3 linked regions of the Caenorhabditis elegans genome follow. The protein of the gene in region 2 interacts with the protein of the main gene of each other region in a pairwise test. Each region holds a gene or a part of one and is shown on either strand. Other genes may lie near its edges.

Region 1 (8,077 bases), on a different chromosome or scaffold from region 2:
GTTTTCAAACAATGACATCACATTATCTTATTTTGGTGAAACTCGTCACTTCCTTTTTCTGTCCGAATCAATGAATCAGGACTAATATTATTTCACGAAAGAGTCTTCAAGTGGTTGAAACCTATGTGCATCATGCATTTTATCCCTTCTGTAAACAATTGGCTCTGTAAAAATAACAGGAAAAAAACGATTTTAGTGTTTGATCAAAGTGCCATATAAAGAAAATGGACCGCTCACAAAATAACGAAATTTAGACGTATTCCGAAACACTAACATGAAGTATTTTCTATTAGTTCTCATTTGCACCACAATTAGTGCTGTATTCGCATGTAAGTTTGATCCAAAATATGTTACAAAAAGTAACATTTTGTTTTAAACAGCTGAATTATAAAAACAATCCCAGATTTAACAAGTTAGGATAAAACGCTCACGGAACGGTTAAATTTTTTGTCATAAAGACTTGGCCTTATTAGTCGTCTCGAATTAAGTTAATAATCACTGTAACTTAAGCTAGGTCCTCCTAAAGACATATTACGCCAACTTTCAAGTATTCCATTTTTGTGACTGAGTGGAAGTTTTTCTGTAATATGGAAAAAAATTAAACATTTTCAGATCCATACTACCAAGGCGCGTATAATCCATACTACCAAAGTTCTTCTGATCCCTACTATCAACCATTCCGTCTCTGGAATAGTCCAACAACATATCAGATTGGCACCGGAGTTGTCCCAACCTATTCGGCTCAAAGTTCGTACAATCCATTGTACCCATATTACCAATACAACTGGGACAATTTCAACACCGACTTTTACAATCCATATAAAAATTGATTATCGAAATAAACTATTGACAGCTTTTAACTTTTAAAAAGATTATTGCCACTACTACAAGACTACAATGTTCATCTCGCTTCCGAAATAGTTTATGTTCTCAAATATTTACTTCACATCTCTGAACCCATGTCACAGAAGCAAGCTCATTGAAACAGAAACATTATAAATTAGAAATTTTTTAATTAATTGCGAAATTGAGGAAGTCAATTTTTTATAACAACCCAATCAAAACTTCATCATCATTATTTTGTGATCAAGTGGCAAACTGTCACTCTTTTCTTTTTTCTAGTAAACACCGAGTGTAGATTGTTTGGATTTTCAAATCTTCTTCTCCACAGTAGTTAGTTGAAAAGTAAGAAAGTTAAATAGAAAGAGGCGGAGTGTCCACGAGTCTATTTGCGTTGATTCATTTTGGCAACCGATCATTGAGTATATAAGTGAAAAGGTCGTCGAAAAAGAACAGAAGTTTCACGAATCATGCAGTTTTTAACGATTTTATCAGTTTGCGTTCTTGCGGTAGCCGCTCAGCAACAATGTGAGTTAAAATTCAATTTTTTATGATTCGAACTAACTCAGAATTAAACTAACTTTAGAAAAACGTTAGAATAATTTTAGACGATAACAATGGACAGACATTCACTACGAATCAATTTGCAGCCGCGTATTCTACGAATCAACAATATCAACCTTCCCAAGGTGCTCAATATGATCAATATGGATCTAGCACTCTTCAATACAACAACGGAGCAACCGCTCAACCAATTCAATATAACCAAAATCAACAATATGGTTCCACGGCTCAGTACAATCAAAATCAAATGCAAAATCAGCAAAACTCGAATCAATATTCAACGACATCAAACATGAACAACCAGCAAAACTCTAATCAGTATCAGCAAGGACAACAAAATAATTACGGAACACAAGCACAATATGACGCTGGACAAAATCAAATGGGACAATCTGGACAAGTGCAAGGATATTCCAATAATGGATATTCTAATCAAAATTCCCAAATGAGCCAGAGTCAAGCTAGCAGTGGAAGTAGCAGTGTCTCCCTTATGGATTATTCTTTCAACAATGGAAACTGTCAGTATAAGGATGGACAAGTGATTGAAAATGGACAGACTAGACAAGCCACTCAACAAGAACTTCAACAAATTCAACAATACAGAAACAGCGTTGATCAATACATGAACCAAGTAAACGGATATGTAAGAATTTAAAATGTTATTTAGTCGTCTAATTTTTCGATTATAGGTTGGCCAATGGATTAACTCAGTCTTCCAAACTCTTCCATCAGTCAACAATTCTTTCCCAAATATCCCAACAATGCCAACCATGCCAACGGTACAAATATCTCATTGAGCCCAAATCTTAACATTTTATCTTTACAGGCTCCATGTTTGTGTAACGCTCAAAATTGTGGAAACACTACAAACACCAATGCCATTGGAAATACCCCACAACGTGATGCTTATGGAAACCAAATGGGATCAAACTCACAATTCCAGCAAGCAAATCAAAATGGACAATACCAAAATACTCAATACCAGCAACAAAATGGTCAAAATGGTCAAAATCAATTCCAACAGTCGAATGGCCAGAACCAAAACTCCCAATATCAGCAGACCAGCAACCAACAAATGAACAATCAACAATATCAAACTGGAGATTATCAACAGACCAACACCCAATCAATGGGATCACCTAATACAGGAACACAACAGTCGAATAATCAACAAATGAATGCACAGCAAACTCAGCAACAGCAACAGTATTATGGAAGAAAGAAGTAATAATGTTGATGCTCATATTGTTCCATTTTAATATTCTTGCCTCAATTGTTTCAATAAAATGTTCCATATACAAGAAAAATCACTTTATTCCAAAAATATTTAGCAATTCTTTTAGAGTTTTTTAAACTTTCAGAACACAAATGCAAATCATATTTGACAAAAATTAAAAATTAATTTCCTATGATAACTTAGATACAAACCATGTGGAAAATTTTGTGTTTATTATGTTTTCTAGATTTTTGTTGTTTCCGTTTTATGTTAATAGCCTACATATGTTTTTGCGGAAAGCATAAAACTTGTAGTGTGAAAACAAAACGTGAAAATTTAGAAAAACTCTGATTGCTACCCGAATACTTCGAAAATTTCACACAAATATTCGAAAAATAACTTGAATATCCTTTTGTATGTGTGTTGTTGCAATAAATCTTCCCGATTGGAAATGCCTGCAGAAGCAGCATCCGAAAACGTGGCACTGGACAAAAATCTGAAGAAGCTGATCTCTTGGCTAACTCCGTCGAGATGTGTTCCCATACGTTGTAATGGGCGGATAAGAAACAACCGACGGACGGGTCCCACGACCACACACACCATACTCACCAACACCGCCATCACCAACAATTGGCGCCTTCAATGTGTCTAGAGTACATCTGTTCTTAATTTTTCTTCGACTCTTTTTTTCGATACCAGACGGATAATTTTGAATGGTTGTTTCAAACAAAGAGAATTCAAATTTTTTTGAGTGATAATTTTGAATTTTCATTAGTTACCATTGCTAATTCTTCAATAAAAATTACCTGGCGTTCCGTTCACACAGTTGAATAAAAACTTTTTTCAAATTTCAAGTAGGAAATTATCATTCATTGTAATTGGTTTTTAGATACTCATTCATTCAACAGTGCGTTTTTACAAGTTTAACGCTAGTTGATTTCCTGAAACTTCTGATTTTGATCTGAGAAAAACAAGTTTTTAATAAATTTTAATCCTTCCCCTTTCAATCATTTTTATCAATTTTTTATCAATATACACGAGATTCAATTAACTGATCACTTTTTCTCGGCTTTCTTCTGTTCCCACAATGATCTGATGCTCCTGCTCCATTTTGTTCTCTATCCATCACCTCTTCCTTCGCCTCTCCGCCCGCATTTTTGTGTTGTTGTTCTCTCTATCTCTCCTTTCCTGCTTCATCCCACTTCTTGATGTGCTTTGGCTCAATGTTTTACACTCTTCCTTCCGAAGCAAGAGGAAGATGAGAGAGGATCCCCAGTCAGAACGTGTGTAATAGTAGGAGAGCACCACAGAAAGTTGGACAACCTTAGGAGTGGGCGGCACTTTTTATACTAATTTTTTGTACTTACTTATTTTTATGCTTGGATATTATTTTTCTTGGAGTATTGTATGTAAACTAAATTAACTATACTCCAAGTTTTACAAAGAGACACCTATTTTGAAGTCCGACTAAAAGAAAACGTATGTCTAAATTTTAAACATATTTTGATAAGTCAGAACAAGCGGTTTTTTGTTTTTCACCCTGCTCCCTTCTCTTCCAAATTTTGCCATCAACAATTGCCAATTGTTTGGAAAGCCATCCCAGTTTTCAGCGTTCTTGCTTGATCCATCATCCTTTCTTTCTCCGGTTTTCAGTTTTTGAAATCTTTTAAAATGTCAGATTACCGTATTTTTGTTAGTAATATTGCCCCGGGGTGCTAAACTCTGAGATTATATTACCTGTTGACACTGGATCTTGCATATTTCTCCAAATTTAACAATCTCGCTCAAATCATGTTAATTTTTTTTCAGTAACCAATAAATTTTCCAATATTTCAGAAAGATCACAATACCATCATAAAATGGCGCCAGGAGGGGCGCCGAATGACGCCAACCTCAGCGCTGTAGCGCAAAGAGGACATAGTGAAGAGGGTGATAAATCAACAACAACACTATCAACAATTGCTGTAAAAGCTGGTGTCAATGCATCAATTGTAGTTGCACTTTTAAAGGTTGAAACTATTTTTATTAATTTTTTAAACCTAAATTCTTTAGAGTGCTGGTTATATCCAACTTCGTGTTGATGAAATGCAGCCGAAGCTACTTTCGATAGGAAATTCATCACAAGAAGCTAGAGATTTGCTCAACATCCATGATGATCTCATCAGAAGGCTTCAAGTGAGTTTCTGTCAAAAGTTGTATTATAATATATTTCTACTGTTCAGGACAAAGATGACCAGGTAGTAGCTCTCTTGAGTCGTGCCGACAGCCTCGGAGCAGAAAAGACGAATCCGAACGAAGCGATTGTTTACGACGAAATGGCGAAGAGTTTGCGGGAGGTTTGTATGCATTTCGGTTTTTTTAGTATTCTTACCCAGCTGCACATAAATCAGCCCATTAATCTGCGTAGTGTAGGAATCCAGACGGAATGCGTTTTCATGTTTTTAGTCTTCAGTACGACCTTAAAAATGTCGCATCTTCAGACGTGGAGATCGTTGAACAGACAACTTCTCCTCAGAGGATATATGCTCAGAGAGACTGTACAGTTTTATACATTGGCTGAAAGTCATGAAAAGGTTAGTTGATTTTTGAAACCGTTTTTTATTGTGATTTTATTAACTGCAGTTATCCAATGCTAAAACTATTGAAATTGTGCAACAAATCAACGAGCAAAACTCTCAACAACTTCAATCATCCATCGATAAGCTTATTAATGGTAAGCTTTGATTTTATAATAAGAAAAAATAAATCTGAAATTTCAGACATCATTGACACAACTGCTTCTGTAGTAGATTTGGGATCTTCCGTCATTTCACAAATTCGTACATTGGGACAACTTGATGACAATCCAGAGAGACCACAAGAGATTTTAGATGCATCAGTAAAAATTGAAAGTGTTATGTTGAGGTAAGCAACTTTTTAAAACCTAGGAATATAGTTCTGCAACTTTTTTTAAAGATCTAAAATTATAACATTTTATTTAAAAAGTAAAATTGAAGAGTTGCTGCTGATTGGGAACGATCCGAAGGACTTTGGCAGCAGCGAAAGTCGGGAGCAACACAACAAAATGCTACAACTACAACAGAAGATGAACTCGTTGTTATTGAACAATGGCTAACTTATGCGGAAAAGAAAGTCAAAGCTCTCAACGATGCTGGACAGAAAAATGTTCTTACTGAAGGAAATGTGGGTTCAATTTTATGTACCTGAAAAAGCAATTACACATTTCAGAAGCATGTATCCCGTCTTCGTCACCTAGCGCAGAGTCCATCATCAGACGGGGGACGTATTTCTCATCTTTCCGGTAGAATTGAGGAATTCCTTCATTATCTGAAAACCCGAATGAATCGATCACATCGAATTCACGCTTTCCTTCAAGCCGCAAAATCGATGGTATCTCAGTTGAATATGATGGTTGAAGACATGAAATGCGCAAATGCGGCTATGGCTGGAGAGCTAGCACCTTTGGCAAAGCAGAAAGCATCTCCTCTTATCCACGAAGGAAAGGATATCGCTTGTAAGTTTTCTAAAAATAATTAACAGGTCAATTATCAATAAAAAGAATCGGTAAAAATTATTCTTGCAGCAAAAGAAGTTCTGAGCTACGAAGAACAACGACTTGTCAAGCAATACGTTGAAGATTTGTCAGAAAAGTTGCGTGAGATAGAAGCTCTTGCAAAGCAAAGGAAAGAGTCTGGAAAGACGACTTCTCATGTACGTTACCATTAATTTATAATAACTTCAAAGGTTATAATTTCCAGTTCTCAAACATCCAATCATGGCTGGATGGACAAGCTTCTGCATTCTTAGCACAGAAAGGTGATATGGGTGGAAATTTGAATGATGCTCGTGATTTCGTTGTCTCTCATAAACAATTTGCAACTGAAATCGTCAACCGAGACGCTGACGTTATGAGTCTTCTCGCCAAGAAGCCACAAATGTCTCCAGATGAAGAACAACAACTGACCGATTTTATGAAGAAGTATGAAAAAATAAAAGACATTTCGGAGAACCGAATTCAAATTGGCTCCACTTACGAGCAAGTTCACAAGTTTGGAAAAGACCTTGAAGGTTCATTTGATGCTCTTCAAACACTTTTGGAGAACAATCAAGAATATACAAATGAGAAAGTGGCGGCACAAATTTCCAACGTGTTCCAGATGATTTTAGAAACTTTGAGTCAAGAGAAACATCAAGGTTTGTTACCATAATTTGGTTGGTATTTTTAAAACGTAATCTTTCAGCTGAAAAGTTCATATCAAATGCAACTCAAATCGGAAAATCAGACGAGTGGTTGAATATCCAAAGAGCTCAAGAAGCAGTTCGCAATATGATTACCGACCATGAGAACAGATTCAAATACGTTCAACACAAATGGACTGAGTGGCAGAGAGATAAGGTAAATCGATAAAATGTAGGATTTGCAAAAGTAATTTAAAAATTTAGAATGTACAAACCAAAGTTGAAACTGTAATCGAAGAGATTCAAATGTGGCAGACAGATGTTTTAGAGTTTATTGGAAAGGTCGATAACTCAACGGTCACAAAGAAAGAGGTATTGAATAATTTTTCACTGTAATTTGGTAGATTATTTATTGCTTCAGGAAGTTGAGGAGATTCAGAAGAGGATTGCTTCATTCAAAAGTGCTGCTGATATGCATAAATCAACATTAGAGACATTGAAAGAAGAAAACCAAAATGAAGAACAAATCAGTAGAATCAACGTTTTAATTGATAAAACTGATTACGTCAAAACACGGCTTGATCAGTTGAGCCAGAAAGTTGAACTTACCTCTTTGCTCAAAATTGTGGAAGATGTGCAAATATGGCAAGAAGAAATGGTTGAAATAATAAGAAACATGAATCAAGTTGTCACTACTCAATCCAACAACCAAGAGCAGTTCGAGCAAGTAAGGCGAAAAATTGAAGATTTGAAAGTTGAAGTCGACAAGAAGAGCGAACATTTGGAAGCATGCAAAACACTTTCGCATAGTTAGTTTAAATTTTAAAACATTCAGAAAAAGATTTCAATTTTTAGATGAGACATTCCAAACTCAGCTGCATAAAACAATTGAGAATCAAGAACAAATCCGTCGTACTACTATCGAACTTCAAGAGAAGTTGGAAGTATCAAAGTTGGTTCGGGTGGTGCAAGAGATTCAGATGTGGCAAGAAGAAGCTATTGAGATTATCCGAATGTTGGACAGAACTCAGCCGGCAAGCATTCAAGAAGCCAATGAACTGATTGACAGAGTTCATGATTTGCAACAGACCATCGAACACAAGTCAGCTAGAATTCAAGAAGTCAAAAAAATGTCTCAAGGTTTGTTTGCAACGGTTGCGCTGTTTTTTCTTGAATGCATTTGAAAAACTTTATTTTTTTTTTCAGTTCCCGAATTTGTGCACAAAATGGAAGAGGTAGAGCACGTTCAAGAACAACTCAAACATCTGACAGTTGAAT
Region 2 (8,077 bases):
TTGAGTTGGTTGATGAGTTGTGCTTGTGTGGAGACAAGAGAATTCAATGCAGTGTTGTTTCGTTGAAGCTCTTCAGCTTTTTCCTTGAGCGCTGATAGTTCTTCTTGCATTTTTCTGAAAGTGTTGGTTATTTAAATTTGGGAGAAATATATTCATTTAATTAATGAACTGAGCTCTAAGGTTGATTTTTGTTGAATTGTTTTTGATTGGAGTAGTGTAGATTATTACTGTAGTTATTTTTCCCCAACTCACGTATAATTATCGGTATTCGATTTTCCGTCTTTTTCAAGTGTATCAACTCTCAATTTCGTATTTCTCAAGGATGTCATACACTCTTCGTTCTTCTTTGTAATATCATCCAATTGAATTGACACTGACTTCTTCTCACTATTCGCTGATTCCAAATCTGCCATACTTCCTAAAGAAACGATACTATATTTTCAGATAAACGGCAGAAAATTACTAACCAACAAGCTTTCCTTTGGTGAGACTCAGCTGGGCGGATAGTTGTCGAACTTCTTCGTTTGTCTGGGATAAAACTTCTCCTTGAGCTTGATATACGTAGAATGCGTAAAAGAATAATACCTGCAAAAAGTGTATAATTTCATTGACTTCTTGTTAATTATATTACCAGGCAAATAAGAAATACAAAAAGGGGCCAATTCCTCATTGTAGTAGGACGATCCGAGTGTGAACTGCTCCTGAAAGAAAAAAAATTGAATATTTATTTAAACGTTGTCCTTCTATGTATCTATATGTTTGTTTAATGGTTACAAAAAAGGGAAAAGCCACGCGACATCTGCGGCGCACCGTTTCGTTTTTATGCAAACGGAAGACTGCGTGGATGTCATAGATACAAAAAGGAAAGAGACATCGATTTTTGATAGGCTGACGAATGCAAAAAAACGGAGATTAAAGGGGATTTGTAGTAGAATTAGAGGAAATGCATAGTTGTTTGATTTAAAAAATCATCAAAATTCATAAAAACACAGAAAACTGAGTCAATACAAGAAAATTCGAGTATCAAGCTTATGTCTACTGTTATTTTTTCAAAACTGCATTTTAAATAAGAAAAACTACAGAGTTGTGACTCTTTCAGTAGTAATATATAGAGTTATCATTCCAGTGAAAAAATTACAACTCCAATTTCCAGTTTTAACCTAAAATCACTTGAGTACGTATTTCTAATTCAATTACAAAAGCTGATGATGTACTATAGCACTTACTGGGTCTTATGCAAAATTACAGAAACAATTTGAAAACTTGGTTGAGAATTTAAGCCAGAGTAATTTTTTTGTCGGAAAATTCCAATATTCAGTATTTAAAATATAGATGTTGAAGGTAATATATATTCTCAAAAGTACGCAGGCACAGTCGACAGTAACAGGGGCGCCTGGAGTGCCTCTCCACTACCGGCGAGGGCAAGGAGCACCCCTTTTCTACAGATGTTAAAAATTTGTTTTAAATTCAGTAAAGCTGGTGAATTTTACAAATTGTGCACATTTTTGAATCCGGAAAATTTTCAACACTTCGAAGTTGTTCTCAAAATCGGCTTTCAATTCAAATTTTAAACAGGAAAACATCTTTAAAAATATTTGTTCAAACACAGAGTTTTATAAAAAGCTTCTAAAAACTTACCGTATGAGAGGCTTTCTGCTGGATGACATGACGGGGGGATACCGGCAAGTATGTCTTTTCGACGGGCGATGATGGCCGCTGATGATACGGCGAGAGGTTCCGAGACACAGGCGTCCTAAATGTGTTGGAAACTAAACGGCAGAAAATGAGCACTAGAAGGTTGGAGAGTCGGGGAGAGATGTTAGAGTGACGAGGGATGAGGAATGTTGGAAGAGACAACACGAGAGAATAAGACAAAGAGAGATGTCCTGCAAAAGAGAGTAAAGACTTTTCTCCTCTTCCTGCGGGAGTCAGAGAGAGAGCGGCGGGAAGCAAAGAGACCACATAACGATAAGAGACACAGAAAGTTTTGTATCACTGTCTCTCTCATCATTTCATTCTATCTCTTCACCTTCTTCTTCTTCTACTTCAATCCATTCCCATCGCCTTCTCCGTGTGTGTGTTTGTCAGTGTTCGGCAGGAGGCCCTCCTTTGCATTGTATTCCCCTGGAATGCGACCTGCTGCCCCTGGTACTACTCCAAATGGTGCATCTTCTGATATCAGACATCAACGTGGAGTTGCTCCGATCCCATTTGGCTCTACTAATTCAGCGATAGATGCCCATCACAATTCAGTAGGTTTTGGTTTGGAAAAGTGATTGGGTTATTGATTCAGATCTTGATCTGTTTGGCTTGATCACTCCCTAGATTTTCAGCTGAACCATGTGTCATTTGAAAGAGGACCTTTAAACTAGATCGTTGTAAATTTTAAGCGGCAAAGTGTCACGATCTGAAACTTTTTAGTGCTCTTTTCACAACTTTCGAGAGCTGTAGACTTGCTCCAAAAGCTATTTTTTGCAGACATGTTGTTTTTCAGTGATTAAGAGCAATTGAAAATTCTAGGAGTTTTAATAAAATTTTTAAAAATGTTCTCCCCCTAATCAACTCGATCAAAATGCTTTCAGATTTCCGTTTAAAAAATTATTTAACTTAAAAATTACCTCTAGCATTTTCGGACCAATTTTTTCTAGTTCAAAATGCTCTTCTGTTGCTAAATTTTTTGTGGGGTCCTATTCAAAAGGTCTTCTTTTAAATTATATTGGCTTTGCTATTGTTTGTAAATACATCTATAATCGCAAATCATTTTTTTTTGCAGTTCCATGTTTTTTTTTCCTGATTTGAATTTCAAAATCTGTTCAAGATTCGTAGAACTCATTAAAATTTAAAAAAAAATCCTCAAAATTACTTCACCCTTTCTTATTCAACACTTTGGCGTTCCGAGACAATGCGGGGCTTTCATGGCAGACGTTATCACTTGGAATGGCGGTTTTGATAAGAAAATGAAATCACCTAAAATTCCATTTAGAAGCATCACCTTTTAATAGTTTCGTAATCAATGAATCAGTATTTTTCATATGAAAAATATATAAATTGCTCAGAAAAATGTACAATTTCAGTGTTGAAACATTGAAAACTTCCATAGAAACGCAAAGTTTTTTGCTTTAAAGAAATCCTTTTTTTACAAAAATTCTAAAAAATTCGCATCTGGGCAGTGGTACCATAATTTGGCATAACTAATTAAACCAATTGTTTTTCCAGGAAATCCGCGTGGGGCGTCATCGTGCAAAACTCGACGAAATTCGCGAATCGCTGAAAGCTTACGAACATGAAGCCGGTTTATTATCAAGTCACGTGGCTCTTGGATCACTTGCAACACCGTCAAGTTCTTCCGTCAGCCATTCTGACATCACCAATGACAATGCGGAAGTGATGAATTTTTCGTCTTCTTCTTCAAATGCAGCAGCGACGACGACGACAGTCTCGAGCGCTGCTGTATCAAATTCGAATTCTTTTAGAGTGAGTCACATTTCTTTTTTTTTAATCAAAAATGGTCCTGGAAATCGAATGGAAAAACATTTTGAGAGTAAAAAATAAAATTCGATTGGCTGGGAAAATTGTCCGTCAAATTTTCCGTCTAGGTCAGTTCGTATGCCCAAAAAAAACATAACTTTTTTGAAATTTATACATAGACCGGCCGAAAGCGTCATATTTTTCTTCGAAAAAAAAAAGAATGGAATTGTAGCAAACTAGCTAGAAATTCTATTGAATAAAAAATTATGAAATAGGTGGCTCAGCTCAACTTTGGGATTTTATGAAAATTGTCAACTATGAATCGATTTATGATCTTCAAAAGTGGTGAAGGGTGGTGGTTCAAAAGTGAAAAAATCATATTTTCAGACAGAAGGTGGTGGTCACAAGATGCGGATAACACCAATGCCACAAAGACATTTAATGATGGATACTGGTGCCAATGAGACAGTATTTCGAAGTGGAAAAGAGATGATTCGAAATGGAAATCCATCAACAACTATATCATCAACACCTTCTACAACAACTGAAGAGTCGATTAGGATACATCCTGCTGGATATCGATATGATATGCCAACTCCTGCATATCATATGAATAACAATGCACCACAATACTCACCAGGATATGTAAGTTGTTCTCGAAAAAATATAATACTAAAGAATCGGAAAGTACTTTTTCTGAGAAGTCCCACTTAAAATTTTGTTTTAAAAAAATTGGTTTGCGGTGGTTCAGTTTTGAAAAAAGTCCAAATTGTCAATGCGATTATCACTTTTCATATTTTGGTCGTTCGTTCCATGTTTTTCTGTTGATTTGGCTACATTTTCGGTCACATATTTGATAATATTTAGTGCACCCGTAAACTGAAAAGGCACTTTAATCAACGGCGAGACACGTGTGAACAACTAAAATTAGTAACAAAATATACTTCCAAATTGACAAAGTTTGAAAGTTTAAGCTGAAAAGAAAATGGACCAAAACTTTCTTTGAAAAATACTCCTAGTTCAAGCAATAGGGGGACCTTCTTGTGACCTGTTCATAACTTCTGAAATTTTTTTTGTAAAATAAATTAAAGAGTCCAATAAAGTACACACAAACACCCCTAGTAGGCAGACCTGACACTTTAATAAATGAAAATTTTCAGTCTCGACCACCTCCACCAGCCTACGATTCATCTCCGGTGAACACTAGAATGACTCCAGTTGCAACAGACAACTACCGTACTCACCTGCATATGAAAGTTCATCCTGTTGTAAAAGCGCCACCACCGAATCCAACAATGCTCAATCACAACAAGAATATGGCACCCCCACCGCCTCCTCCAGCAAAATCTACGATTTCCATCGAGACAATGTAAGTTTTCTAAACGATATCAGAAGGATTCTATAAATCTTTTGCTTTAACTTTTCAGGAGTGAAGAACGAAAAGCAGATAATATCCAGAGACTTTATCATACATCAATGGACAAAAAAACAGCTAGTAGTGTTGTTAGTATCAATGTTGCTTCTCCTCATACGGTATTTTATGACCTCAAATGATATTAAAATTCATTTTTAATTTCAGACAAAAGTAAATGTTGGTGATAGTCCTCTTCCAAGCAAATCATTCATTATTGGTCCACGGTATACAGCTGATGTCGATAGGAAGAATTTTGTCAACTATAAAGATGAGGTAAATTTGAGAAAAATTCAACTCCTACCTTCTGAAATATTTAACTGATATTTCTAGAGTCATTTTTTTGACAGAGCTCATAAAATATAAGAGACTAAAAGTTTTGTCTTCGCAGACACCCATAATCAGCAAAAATTTGCAAAACTACTTTAGAATCGGTTTCGAGAGCCCAGTTGAATTTTATGAATAGAACAATAATTGTTATAAAGTTCGGGGATAAACCCTAAAAATAAAATGATTTCAGCTGCGTCCCGACCCTCGCCTGATTCCATCCACTTCCGATGCAAATCATGAAGATTTCCGGCCGATCCTTTTCAAACCAAGAAATCTCGAAATCACAATGAAATCACGTGCTCAACCTCCTCCTCCTCAATACAATCAACCCAGTGAGCCACCTCCGAAACGAGTCAGCTCCCCAATTGATCGAACACTTTTGGAACCATACATCAAGAATACACGAAGAGTTCAACCATGTAAACCAAATATGCTTCGATTTTATATGGAACAACATGTTGAACGACTTCTACAGCAATATAAAGAACGAGAAAAACGAATGAAACAGTTGGAAAAGGAGATGGTTTCAGCTCAATTACCGGATATTATGAGGAATAAAATGCTGGGATTACTTCAACAAAAAGAGTCAAAATATACGAGATTAAGAAGACAAAAGATGAGTAAAAGCCATTTCACTGTCATCTCACATATTGGTGTTGGAGCATTTGGAAAAGTTTCATTGGTTCGAAAAAATGATACTCGGAAGGTTTATGCAATGAAAAGTTTGGAAAAAGCGGATGTCATAATGAAACAACAGGTAGGATTTGTTATTTGTTTAGGATCTTGGTTTAAAAATTTGAAAATATTGGTGTCCTACGTTTGAAATAAAACCTTGAATAGAAAGTAAGAAAACTGCAAAGTCTAACATTTTTGATACTCTAGGTTTTTTTTTTTTAATTTAATTGATTCTATATTTGCTACTAGTAGGAAAATATATCAGATATATTGTGAGTCTAGTAGTTTTTAAAATGTGACTGTAAAGCGATATGATCGAAAAATAATTTCAAAACTTTTTGACTAAAAACACCATTTTCTTTCAGGCCGCCCATGTGAAAGCCGAACGCGATATTCTGGCAGAAGCTGATTCTCCTTGGATTGTTCGTCTTTTCTTCTCATTTCAAGATGATGCTTGTCTATACTTCATAATGGAATATGTTCCCGGAGGAGATATGATGACTTTATTGATTCAAAAAGGAATATTTGAAGAAGATCTCGCTAGATTCTACATTGCTGAACTGGCATGTGCAATTGAATATGTTCATAATGTTGGATTTATTCATAGAGATTTGAAACCGGATAATATTCTAATTGATCAACATGGACATATTAAGTTGACTGATTTTGGATTGTGCACTGGTTTGAGGTGGACTCATGACAGAAGGTAAGATTATGTATTGTTTATTTGTCACGAGAAAGAGAGGGTGTCTAATGGAATAGAGCCTAGGCGCGACGCAAATGATTAATTGTAGTTGGTGTGCTCAACATCTGTGCAAAAAATATTTAAGTCACACATGAAACCATCCAATATTTTCTAGATACTATGGACCTGAAAACGACCATCATCGTGTCGATTCATTCTCGCTTCCTCCTGAAGTTGCAGCTATTGATAAAAGCGTTAAAGTTCTAAATGTTCGACAACAAACCCGCCGGATAACCGCCCATTCTCTTGTTGGAACAGGAAATTACATGGCACCCGAAGTAATTGCCAAAACCGGGCACAATCAGAGTTGTGATTGGTGGTCGACTGGAGTGATTTTGTATGAGATGGTATTTGGAAGAGTGCCATTTCATGATGATACACCTGGTGGAACACAACATCGAATTAAGAATTGGAGAAACTTCCTTGATTTTACATATTGTGGAAATCTATCAAAAGAGTGCCTTATGATGATTCAAGTAAGTTTTTTTGTTTAAATAGACGTTGTGAAGACCAAAACTTTTTCAGCAACTAATTTGTGACGCGTCGTCAAGATTGGGATCTCACGGGAAGGATGTTGCCGAACGAACGGCACAAGTCAAAAATCATCCATGGTTCAGGGGAATTGACTGGGTTAACTTGAGAAAACTGAGAGCTGATTATATTTATATTCCTCGGGTCACTCACGATGAAGACACTTCTAATTTTGAAACGTTTCAAGTGAGTTTTTCCTTTTAAACTTTGTTTAGAGTGTCTAAAAAAGTTAGATATAATTTTATGTATGTAGACATAAAAAAGATAGCATCAAAATTATGAATATTTGAGTTTGAAATACAGAATTTTTATTTGAATTAAAGTAAATTAATTGTGGAGTTTCTGAAACTATTATACATAGCAGCTCCAATAAAAACATAATTGAGTTTCACTACTCAAATTTTTAACTTAAATTTGGAATCTTGAAAAGTTTTCTTTCAAAACCTATCACACTTCTAATTCCAAATTTCCAGGACAATGACCGTGCTGACAAGCCGAATGTGCGAGGTCTTCATAATCCAGCCTTCTATGAATTCACTTATCGTCATTTCTTTGATACGGATTCTGTTGGTTGCCCATCACTTCGACCATCTCGTCGTCGGTCACTTCGGCCATTACTTGAAAACGGAACTTTTAATGAGTCAGTGTCGGAAGAAGATTCATCGTCTCATATTTAAAAGAGCATGAATTTGTTTATTGATTATATTATATATGATTTTAATGTGATGTTTTAGTATCATTTTTTACTCATTTTGCTTCTATTTTTATCTTTAATTTTCCAAATTACCCTCTTTACTAATTCTGTGATGATCTCGATACGGTTTTCAGAATTCGAGATATTTTTAATATCTCTTTTCTTTTCTCTTTTTCTCTCATGTCGCCACACTATTTCGTTCGTTTTTTTTTTGCTCAAATGA
Region 3 (8,077 bases), on a different chromosome or scaffold from region 2:
ATCGCTCTGTACATTGACGCAACTTATTCAGCTCCACCTTCAACTTCTAATTAATTACTTTTTCCATTGAATTTTCTCTATTTGCACCAATATATCTGTGATTTTTTTTGTAGTAAATAAATATATACTATTCTGTGATTTTTTTCTGTAGTAAATAAATATATATACCAATTATAACGAATTAATTGTCAAGATCTAGCTGAAAAACGGATAAAAACCGAATGTTTTCTCAAATTAAAATTAAAACTCTAATTAAAGGCGCGTCACTTTACTTGAAAGGGTCTCGCCACGATACGCCAATTGGTGGCGGCAGTTTGAATATTCTTGTTTATTTACATCTTTTTGAGTTCTCATTTTTTGGGATTTCTTTGTTTTTGAACAGAATTTTTCGTTTTTTCGATTGAAATTGCATTTTTCTGTGTAAAAAAAAATGTTTTCATTTAATTGAGTCAAAAAATACAGAAATTCAGTTGTAAGTCTGCTATTCGGAGGTTGTGGGGTAATTTCTCCCCTGATTTGAGTAATTAGTTGAAGAAGCTTGGAATTTCGTGATTTTCAGACGGAAAATCATAGAGGTTCACCATTTTTGAACAGGAATGATCAAAATTTCCGTACAAAATTGGCAGAAATATCGAAACCTTTGACAATTTTATTCTATTTTTATGAGTTTCGTTGTTTCTCTGTATTTAAAAGGAATTTATATTGAAAATGAACTTATCAATAGCACACCTAGAAAAGCTCGAATTAATCAAATTTTATATAATTTTTTCTCGGAATTCTTCCACAATTCACCCACATTGTCATGGAACTTTCAAAGATTTTTCACTTCTCACTCGTGTTCTTGTCTTTTACGGCACAAAGAAATCTTTGCTCGTGATCATTGTAATAACCCTAACCTATAACCACAAGGCGTTGCGTACATTTATCGTGGAAACAGCGTGGATGCACACGCACCCACAGATATCATCAAATCTGGTGGGGGATTGTGAGCAGAAAAGAAGAAGAGAAATCAGGAAAACAGAAAGACAAATCGATTCAAGAGACACAAATGTCAGGTGCTTCATTGGAACACAGAGTGTGAAGGATCACAGAGAGCCTAGACATCGTCTCATCTGTCGGTAGCACGGGCTCCCTCCGTAAAGAAGATGGGCTCATGCACGAGGGAAAAATCTGATAGATTTTTCCGCTTGTTTCAGTTTTCCTTCCATGCAAGGAATTTCTGATGTTTGAGATTTTATCCTCGCCTAGTTTCCGGGTCATCATTATTATTATTCTCTCAATAATTATTAATCTTCATCTCCGAAAGTTCTTCCTTAATTCGAATATTATACACGGCATATTAATATTTTTGGAGTATATCTACCTGCTGGCGATCTCTTTCCATAGTTATTTTCATTATTGATTGAAGTTCGGCCACTGACGTCTGTTTCAGCTGCCACTCTAAGAGTTTGACGAGTTTCTTATCAGAGGTGAACAGTCATCGGTCGAAAAGTTGCATATAAATAACCCACGCTTTCCTCCCGTTCTCAACACCAAATTTTTTTGGTATTTTCCGAAGAAATGTCGTGAGTGTGTTTGTGGCATGTGGCATCAAAATAAACATCTATATGTGAGAAAATAAATGAGTCAATGCAGTTCATGATACCAAATGTACCGAAGAACACCCCCACAAACACCAAAAGCAATCACATTTGCATATCTTGCCGCGTCGTCTACTCTCGTAAATTCTAATCCAAAAGAATTGCATTTTAACGCATTCTCAACATCGTGGGCGGCAAAGTATATGTTTTCGGCAATTTCCAAAAAAGGAGATTTTGGTTTTGCAATTTTGTTCAAAATTTAAAAATGCAAACTCCAGCGCGTTTAAAAACAGGATTACTGTTAAATTTTTGAAAGAAATCATTAAAATTCCAAAATTTTACTTTTTTCCGGCAAACTGGTAATTTTTGCACACCACACATTTTTGCCTGACATTCTTGCCGAACGTCTACCGATTTGCCCTTGGTGAAAATTTAGGTAACGCGGGTCACTAGGTTGATCCTTTTCTCCATTTCCTCCCGCAACAAATCTTCACCTTGTTCTCTCCCCCTCTGTCATCTTACCTTCTCATTCAAAGACGCCTAGATGACCTTGAAGATGTTATGAATGTGTTGTGGAAACTTCCGAAACTTGTACATTTTCCAGGATTTGGCAACTTTTTTGTTTGAGTCACATTTTCACTGTTTTGTTCTTTCTATCCGGTCTACAAAAGTGTCAAATTGAAACAATAGACGAATGTGGCAATAAGATGATTCAGAATACGAAAATATTCTTGAAGAACGCCCAAAAAAGAAACTTTGTTTTTTTTTTTGCCAAATGTTCCTCCAAACGGCACACCCTTTCATATTTCTATCGAGAATCGTTAAATTTTCGGTTCTAAACGAACGATGCACATGAAAATGGTAATGAAAGTTCTCTTTCACTGTCTGCGTTTGTCGTTCATTTTTAGTGGGTGTGAAATAGGGAATAAGGTGATAAATTTTGAGAATTGATCATCGCAGTGCCCTTTCTCTTCTTTTTGGACTTTATATGGATACCGCAATTCCTTCTTCAATTGACTCGAGTTTTGACTAGATTTTGGTCAACATTTTAAAGTGTGTTTTTTTTTGTAATTTCGAAACTCGAAAACAGGAGTACGCAGCCATTGCCGACCGGCAATTCTACAAAATGAGACGGTCGAGCATGTTCTCCCGATATTTTTCATTGAAATTTAATTATACATAGAAAAATATTTGCTTTATTTGAAACAACCGAGAAAGTGTTCAAAAATTGTCCGAAAGTTGAAAATTTACGTTATTTTTCCGCAATTTATAAAGCAAATGTTTTTCTATGTATCATCAAATTTCAATGAAAAAAAGGGAAACAAGTTCACCACCTCATTTTGTAGAATTTCCGTGCACCCCAGCTCGAGACTTTATATTCTGGTAGAATGGGCATTTCTCACCAAGTTTTCTTTTAAGTACAACGTTGCCGTTTTTTGTCGTTACCGTATTTCTATTTCTATCCAAAAGATTTTCAAATTAATTTCCCATGTCTTTGGTCTTTTCAATTGGCTACAGTACCCCCCCCCCCCCCTAAAACAATTCTTCCATTTGTACCAGAAGCCGTCCATCCGTGTCTATATTCGTTTGTTCTCTTTGTATTATGTGTCTTTTTCCTACACAAAAAAAATGAAATATGAATCACCATGCACGCGTTTTCTTCAATTCTCTTAGCTTTTCGTTTGAACAAAAACTCTGCTTTCGATTTTATTAAACTTGAAGATTGAAACAAAAAAACTTCAGTTTTTAGTTTTCCAGGATGTTTAGTTTGTTATCTCGTTGATTTCTCATCGTAAATATGGAGCAACTAAATTTTTTATACCATCTCAAAATTCCAACTATTGCCAACTTTACGTGCCACAGCGGCCGGAAATCAGGTTTTTGTTAATTATCACTATTTTGCGCATTTTAGATGTTTATTGTGGGGTTTTCATTAATTATTTTACATTTCAAGTCGTTAGGTGCAGTTTAGACAAAAAAAACCAATTTATGTGCTTATTTACTGAAAATGTACCATAATCAATTAAAGGCAGAGTACCGAAATCTGAAACAATATTTTTTAGACCAAAAATGACCCAAAACTACCGAATTTCGTAATGAGACGTTTTGAAAATTTCTCAAAAAAGTTATGGCGGTTCAAAGTTGTGGAAAAATTACCATTTTTAAGCTAAAATCTCAAATTTTGGCAATTTTCGCAGAGGTTACTTAAATTTTATTTAAAAGAAAAAAGTTTTCATTGGAACTTAATTTTTATTCAATTATCACCTTTTAATGCATGTATTCGCAGTTTATTACGTGTTAAAAATCATTAGAAATGTCGATAGAAAAGAATCGACATTTCTAATGATTTTACCTTTTGGCCGTACGATTTAAATCATGTATTATTCTCTCATTCTCACGCTTCTTTATCAATACCTTGATTTTTGCAGAAGCGAATAATATAGGACTGCTAGAAAACTTGCAATAATCAACGTCTAAAATGGCGCAACCAAAACGCCTTGACCAGGAAGAAGAGGTATTTATTTTCAGAAGACTATACAACTTTCTAACATAAATATTTTCAGGTCGTTCCGGCGATCCGTCACGATGACGCCGAATGGAAGATCATCCAACAGAATACATTCACCAGATGGGTCAAAAATCATTTGCAAAAGGCTGGAGAAACTATTGAGAGTCTGGTGAGTTTTGGATTACTTTATTCAGTGATTTTATATTTATAATTTCAGGAAACTGATTTCTCGGATGGTCTCAAGCTTATTGCATTGGCTCAAGTTCTCTCCCACAAGAATGTTGGAAAATTCAACAAGAAAGTGGCATTTCGTTCACAGAAGCTCGAAAATGTGTCTCTTGCGTTGAATTTCTTCCAGAATGAAGAGAATATTAAGATTATCAATATTGGTAAGCAGTCCTTCACTGAAATCCTGAAAAATAGTATCGTAGAAACGATATATTTTCCTTTTTCGAGACTGCTCCGCGCGGTGAAGCAGTTCAAAAGGACGAATCCGTAGTTCAAACATGTTTTTGTTTGTTTTCAGTGTATGGGAGCTCTCGCCCGAGCACACGGAGTTCCCCTTTCCTCTATTATTACGAACAACATAGGTTGACCACCGTTTTTCGCAACAAAAATACCCATTTTCGGGACTTTAAGCCAATATTTCGACGTGTCAATTAGTGTCGTTTTTAGAGAAAGAATTTCGGAAAAACGGCCACTTTAAAAAACATTCAAAACACTGAATATTTCAATTTTAATTTACAAGTTAATGTTCATTTCGATACTATCTCTTAAAGAAAATCTGAGAAATATTTTCAATTGACTCCAAATTTTTCCCAGATTCTGAATTTCTATGTGAAAAAATTCAAAAAAATTTCCCTGATTTTATATCCAATAAGGATTAAAAATATCTCGTAAATATACAAAATTGTCGTAAATCGACACATGGCGTCTCTGGTGCGAAAATTCGTCGTTTGAAAAATCAGGGAATGTTTTGTGAATTTTCTCATTTTGATTTCAGAATCAGGAGAGAGAACGACAAAAAAAAAAAATCACAAGGGTTACTGTATTTTTTTGCGTTTTAATTCTTTACCACACGAGCTTTACCGAAAATGTCTCGAACTTTTGACAAAGTCTGATTAAAACCTGACTTCTCAATGTTTTGGCTCAATACAGAATCATTCAAACATTTTAATAGTTATATATTCGGTCACCACAACCCATTTTCTATTTAATTGCATTATTTTAAATTACAGACAGTACTCATATTGTGGATCATAACAAGAAATTGATTCTGGGACTCGTTTGGACATTGATTCTCCATTATTCAATTTCGATGGGATGGATTCAAGAAAAAAGAGAAGATGGAGATAATAAGGAGGAGACTCCGAAGCAAAAGCTCCTCAATTGGATTCGTAATCGTCTTCCAGGTACCATTTCGAATTGCAACATTTACTCATCACCCTAAAGTTTCAGGAATGCCGATTTCCAACTTCACTTCCGACTGGAACGACGGAGTTGCTCTCGGTGCACTTGTCAATTCGATGGCTCCAGGAGCACTTGAAGACTGGGAAAATTGGTCGCCAAATGATGCTCTGGAGAACACTGAGAAAGCCATGAAGTCTGCTCAAGATTTGCTTAAAGTTGCTCCACTCATTGCTCCAGCTGAGATGATTCATCCGGAAATTGATGAAATGTCTGTAATGACATATCTTTCACAGTTCCCTGCAACAAAACCAATAATAATGAAGCCAAAGGTTCAAGCGACTATTTCAAATTTGGACAAAATTCTCCAAGTCAATGATCCTAGAGAGTTTGATTTGAAGCTTTCTCGTGATGGATTTAAGCCGAAAGTCTCGATCCGAGATGAAGATGGACAGGATATTCATTTGAGTCTTAAAAAGGTTGAGGATAAAGAAAACGCCTACAAAGTCAAGTTCACTCCTACAAAGATTGGATTTATCCACGTGGATGTAGCCGCGAACGATGTTCACACGTTTGAGACTCAGACCATTCCTGAGGCTAGCGTCATTTGTCAGGTAGAGAAAAAATTTATATATAATCTGAATTTGTTCTTCAGGTTGTTCCAATCGCCCGCCTTCTCGATTATAACAAAACCGCCAAAGTCGGAGATGACGTCAAATTCGCCGTGGTCGACGCCATTGAAGGTCCTGTTGAAGCAATTGTTGTTGATCCAACTGGAAAAGAGCACCGAATGGTTATCTTGGATGGTACATCACCAGGAGAACATTCATTCGAATACAAAATTCCGTGTATTGGACTACATTCAGTCAATGTTTTCCACAAGAAGCTCCCATTGACCGGATCGCCATTCCCACTGCGTGGAAAACCAAAGAGTGCGTATATTTATAAATATAAGAATCGAGTTTCTGGATGCACCACGAATTCAAGATCTGGTGGAATTAGGGATCTGGCACAAAACACAATTTTTCTCAAAGAAAAACGTGACAACTGCTCCATGTTGCGTGTTGTTAAGCATATTTTCTTGAAGAGAACTTTTGAAGAAAACTGTTTTTTCTTCGAGAAAAATTGCGTTTTATGCGTTGGCACGGTGACAGATCCGGAATTCCACTAAATCTTGAATCCATGATGTCTCTGTTTCTGTATTTCAAAAAAGTAATGAAATTGTTTTTCAGATTCGTTCAAAGTGTGGGGACGTGGAATTGCTCCAGAAGGAATTCGCAAAAATGATGTCGTTGGTGTCCACGTTGAATCGTTGGATCCGGAAGAAAATATCGCCAACGCAAACATTTCTTTGGAAGTGTTGAAACCGTCGGATGGTTCTCATCTACCAGTTTCAGTTGGCTACAATGACGAATCTCAGTCAATGGATTTCGAATATTCGCCAAAGCAAGCACCTGATGATCTAGAAGTACTCGTTAAGGTTGCTGGTGAAGTCATCGAATCTCATAAGATCCATGTGGCACCGGAAAGCTCTTCGAAGATCAGAGCATTCGGAGCAGGACTTGAAGGCGGAATTGTAAATGAGCCATGCGTGTTTGATGTGGAAATGAATGGAGAATCAAAAGATCTATCATTTGCTGTTGAAGGACCATCGAAAGCGGAAATCGGATGTCAAGAGAGACCAGATGGTAGTGCTATTCTATCCTATACACCAACTGTGGCTGGAGTTTACAAAGTTGGGGTGCTAGCCGACGGAAAGCATATTCAGGTAACTAAATATTAAAATAAGATGAAACGCTTTAAATTTAACATGTTTTGTTATGGCGTTATTCATGTAGTATTGGAAAATTAAAAGTGTAGAAAAATGACGTCACAACTGTATCAAAATACATGTTTTTATGTATTTAATGGGGTTATTCAAGTAATGTCGGAAAATTGAAAAGTGTAGAAAAATTACGTCAGAACTGTATTAAAGTATATAAAACATGTATTTAAATACATTTGTGACGTCATAATTGTATTTAAAAACATTTTGCAGAATTACTTGAATAATCGGCTTAATCATGTGATGGTGAAAAATGCGAACATGTATTTTAATACATTTTCCCCCTATTCATCAGTGTCGAAAAATGTAGAATAATGCAATCATTTTTGCATATTTCGACATTTGTCCGCATTTCTCTACATCGGCCGCCACCCCACTTCAAATGCTAAAAACAAGAGACGCAGAGAGATATGTCCCCGCAGGAAAGGTTTTCTCTGCGTCTCGTTTTTAGCATGTGAAGTGAGGTGGCGGCCGATGTAGAAAGAATGCGGACAAATGCCGAAAAATGCAAAAAATGATTGCATTTTTCTAAATCATATGAATAAATAAGCCCATGACCCCACTACTAGTAATAGCTCTCCAATCGACTGATAGTTAACAAATTGAAAGTTTTTCAATTTCAGGATTCGCCGTTTGTTCTGCGTGTCACTGAACCAATCGAAGGCCTAAAACCATCAGCAACTCGAGTCACTGGTATTGATGAATCGAAGGTGTACAACGTTGGTGAGAAGATTCCATTCCGTGTTGATACTCGTC

Evidence for each region.
Region 1: the proteins of wts-1 (region 2) and F21C10.7 interact in a two-hybrid assay, tested with the Caenorhabditis elegans proteins (one large-scale study listed by BioGRID).
Region 3: the proteins of wts-1 (region 2) and fln-1 interact in a two-hybrid assay, tested with the Caenorhabditis elegans proteins (one large-scale study listed by BioGRID).

Annotation. Positions count from the first base shown.
Region 1 is NC_003283.11:9,108,311-9,116,387, forward strand, and holds the start of F21C10.7 (Ig-like domain-containing protein), read left to right. Parts: upstream 1-4,456; 5' UTR 4,457-4,479; coding exon 4,480-4,629; intron 4,630-4,672; coding exon 4,673-4,795; intron 4,796-4,842; coding exon 4,843-4,956; intron 4,957-5,100; coding exon 5,101-5,193; intron 5,194-5,242; coding exon 5,243-5,333; intron 5,334-5,379; coding exon 5,380-5,524; intron 5,525-5,616; coding exon 5,617-5,803; intron 5,804-5,848; coding exon 5,849-6,134; intron 6,135-6,203; coding exon 6,204-6,331; intron 6,332-6,378; coding exon 6,379-6,814; intron 6,815-6,861; coding exon 6,862-7,016; intron 7,017-7,063; coding exon 7,064-7,171; intron 7,172-7,220; coding exon 7,221-7,608; intron 7,609-7,654; coding exon 7,655-7,939; intron 7,940-8,005; coding exon 8,006-8,077. Other genes in the region: F21C10.18 (Nematode Specific Peptide family, group B), read left to right, coding at 275-329, 613-830; pqn-31 (Prion-like-(Q/N-rich)-domain-bearing protein), read left to right, coding at 1,311-1,368, 1,449-2,047, 2,094-2,183, 2,231-2,632.
Region 2 is NC_003279.8:10,291,899-10,299,975, reverse strand, and holds the start of wts-1 (Serine/threonine-protein kinase WARTS homolog), read left to right. Parts: upstream 1-2,048; 5' UTR 2,049-2,129; coding exon 2,130-2,252; intron 2,253-3,216; coding exon 3,217-3,474; intron 3,475-3,855; coding exon 3,856-4,113; intron 4,114-4,628; coding exon 4,629-4,837; intron 4,838-4,895; coding exon 4,896-5,001; intron 5,002-5,047; coding exon 5,048-5,155; intron 5,156-5,399; coding exon 5,400-5,966; intron 5,967-6,249; coding exon 6,250-6,590; intron 6,591-6,744; coding exon 6,745-7,105; intron 7,106-7,154; coding exon 7,155-7,346; intron 7,347-7,633; coding exon 7,634-7,837; 3' UTR 7,838-7,897; coding exon of another isoform or gene 7,898-8,077. Other genes in the region: T20F10.2 (Si:ch211-1a19.3), read right to left, coding at 1-114, 253-418, 468-585, 632-701, 1,639-1,667. UniProt on the Caenorhabditis elegans protein: Phosphorylates yap-1 which may negatively regulate yap-1 nuclear localization. Plays an essential role in larval development.
Region 3 is NC_003282.8:371,995-380,071, reverse strand, and holds the start of fln-1 (Calponin-homology (CH) domain-containing protein), read left to right. Parts: upstream 1-4,059; coding exon 4,060-4,095; intron 4,096-4,144; coding exon 4,145-4,258; intron 4,259-4,306; coding exon 4,307-4,478; intron 4,479-5,327; coding exon 5,328-5,501; intron 5,502-5,541; coding exon 5,542-6,110; intron 6,111-6,151; coding exon 6,152-6,428; intron 6,429-6,468; exon of another isoform or gene 6,469-6,551; intron 6,552-6,728; coding exon 6,729-7,264; intron 7,265-7,944; coding exon 7,945-8,077. Other genes in the region: spl-1 (Sphingosine-1-phosphate lyase), read left to right, coding at 1-54.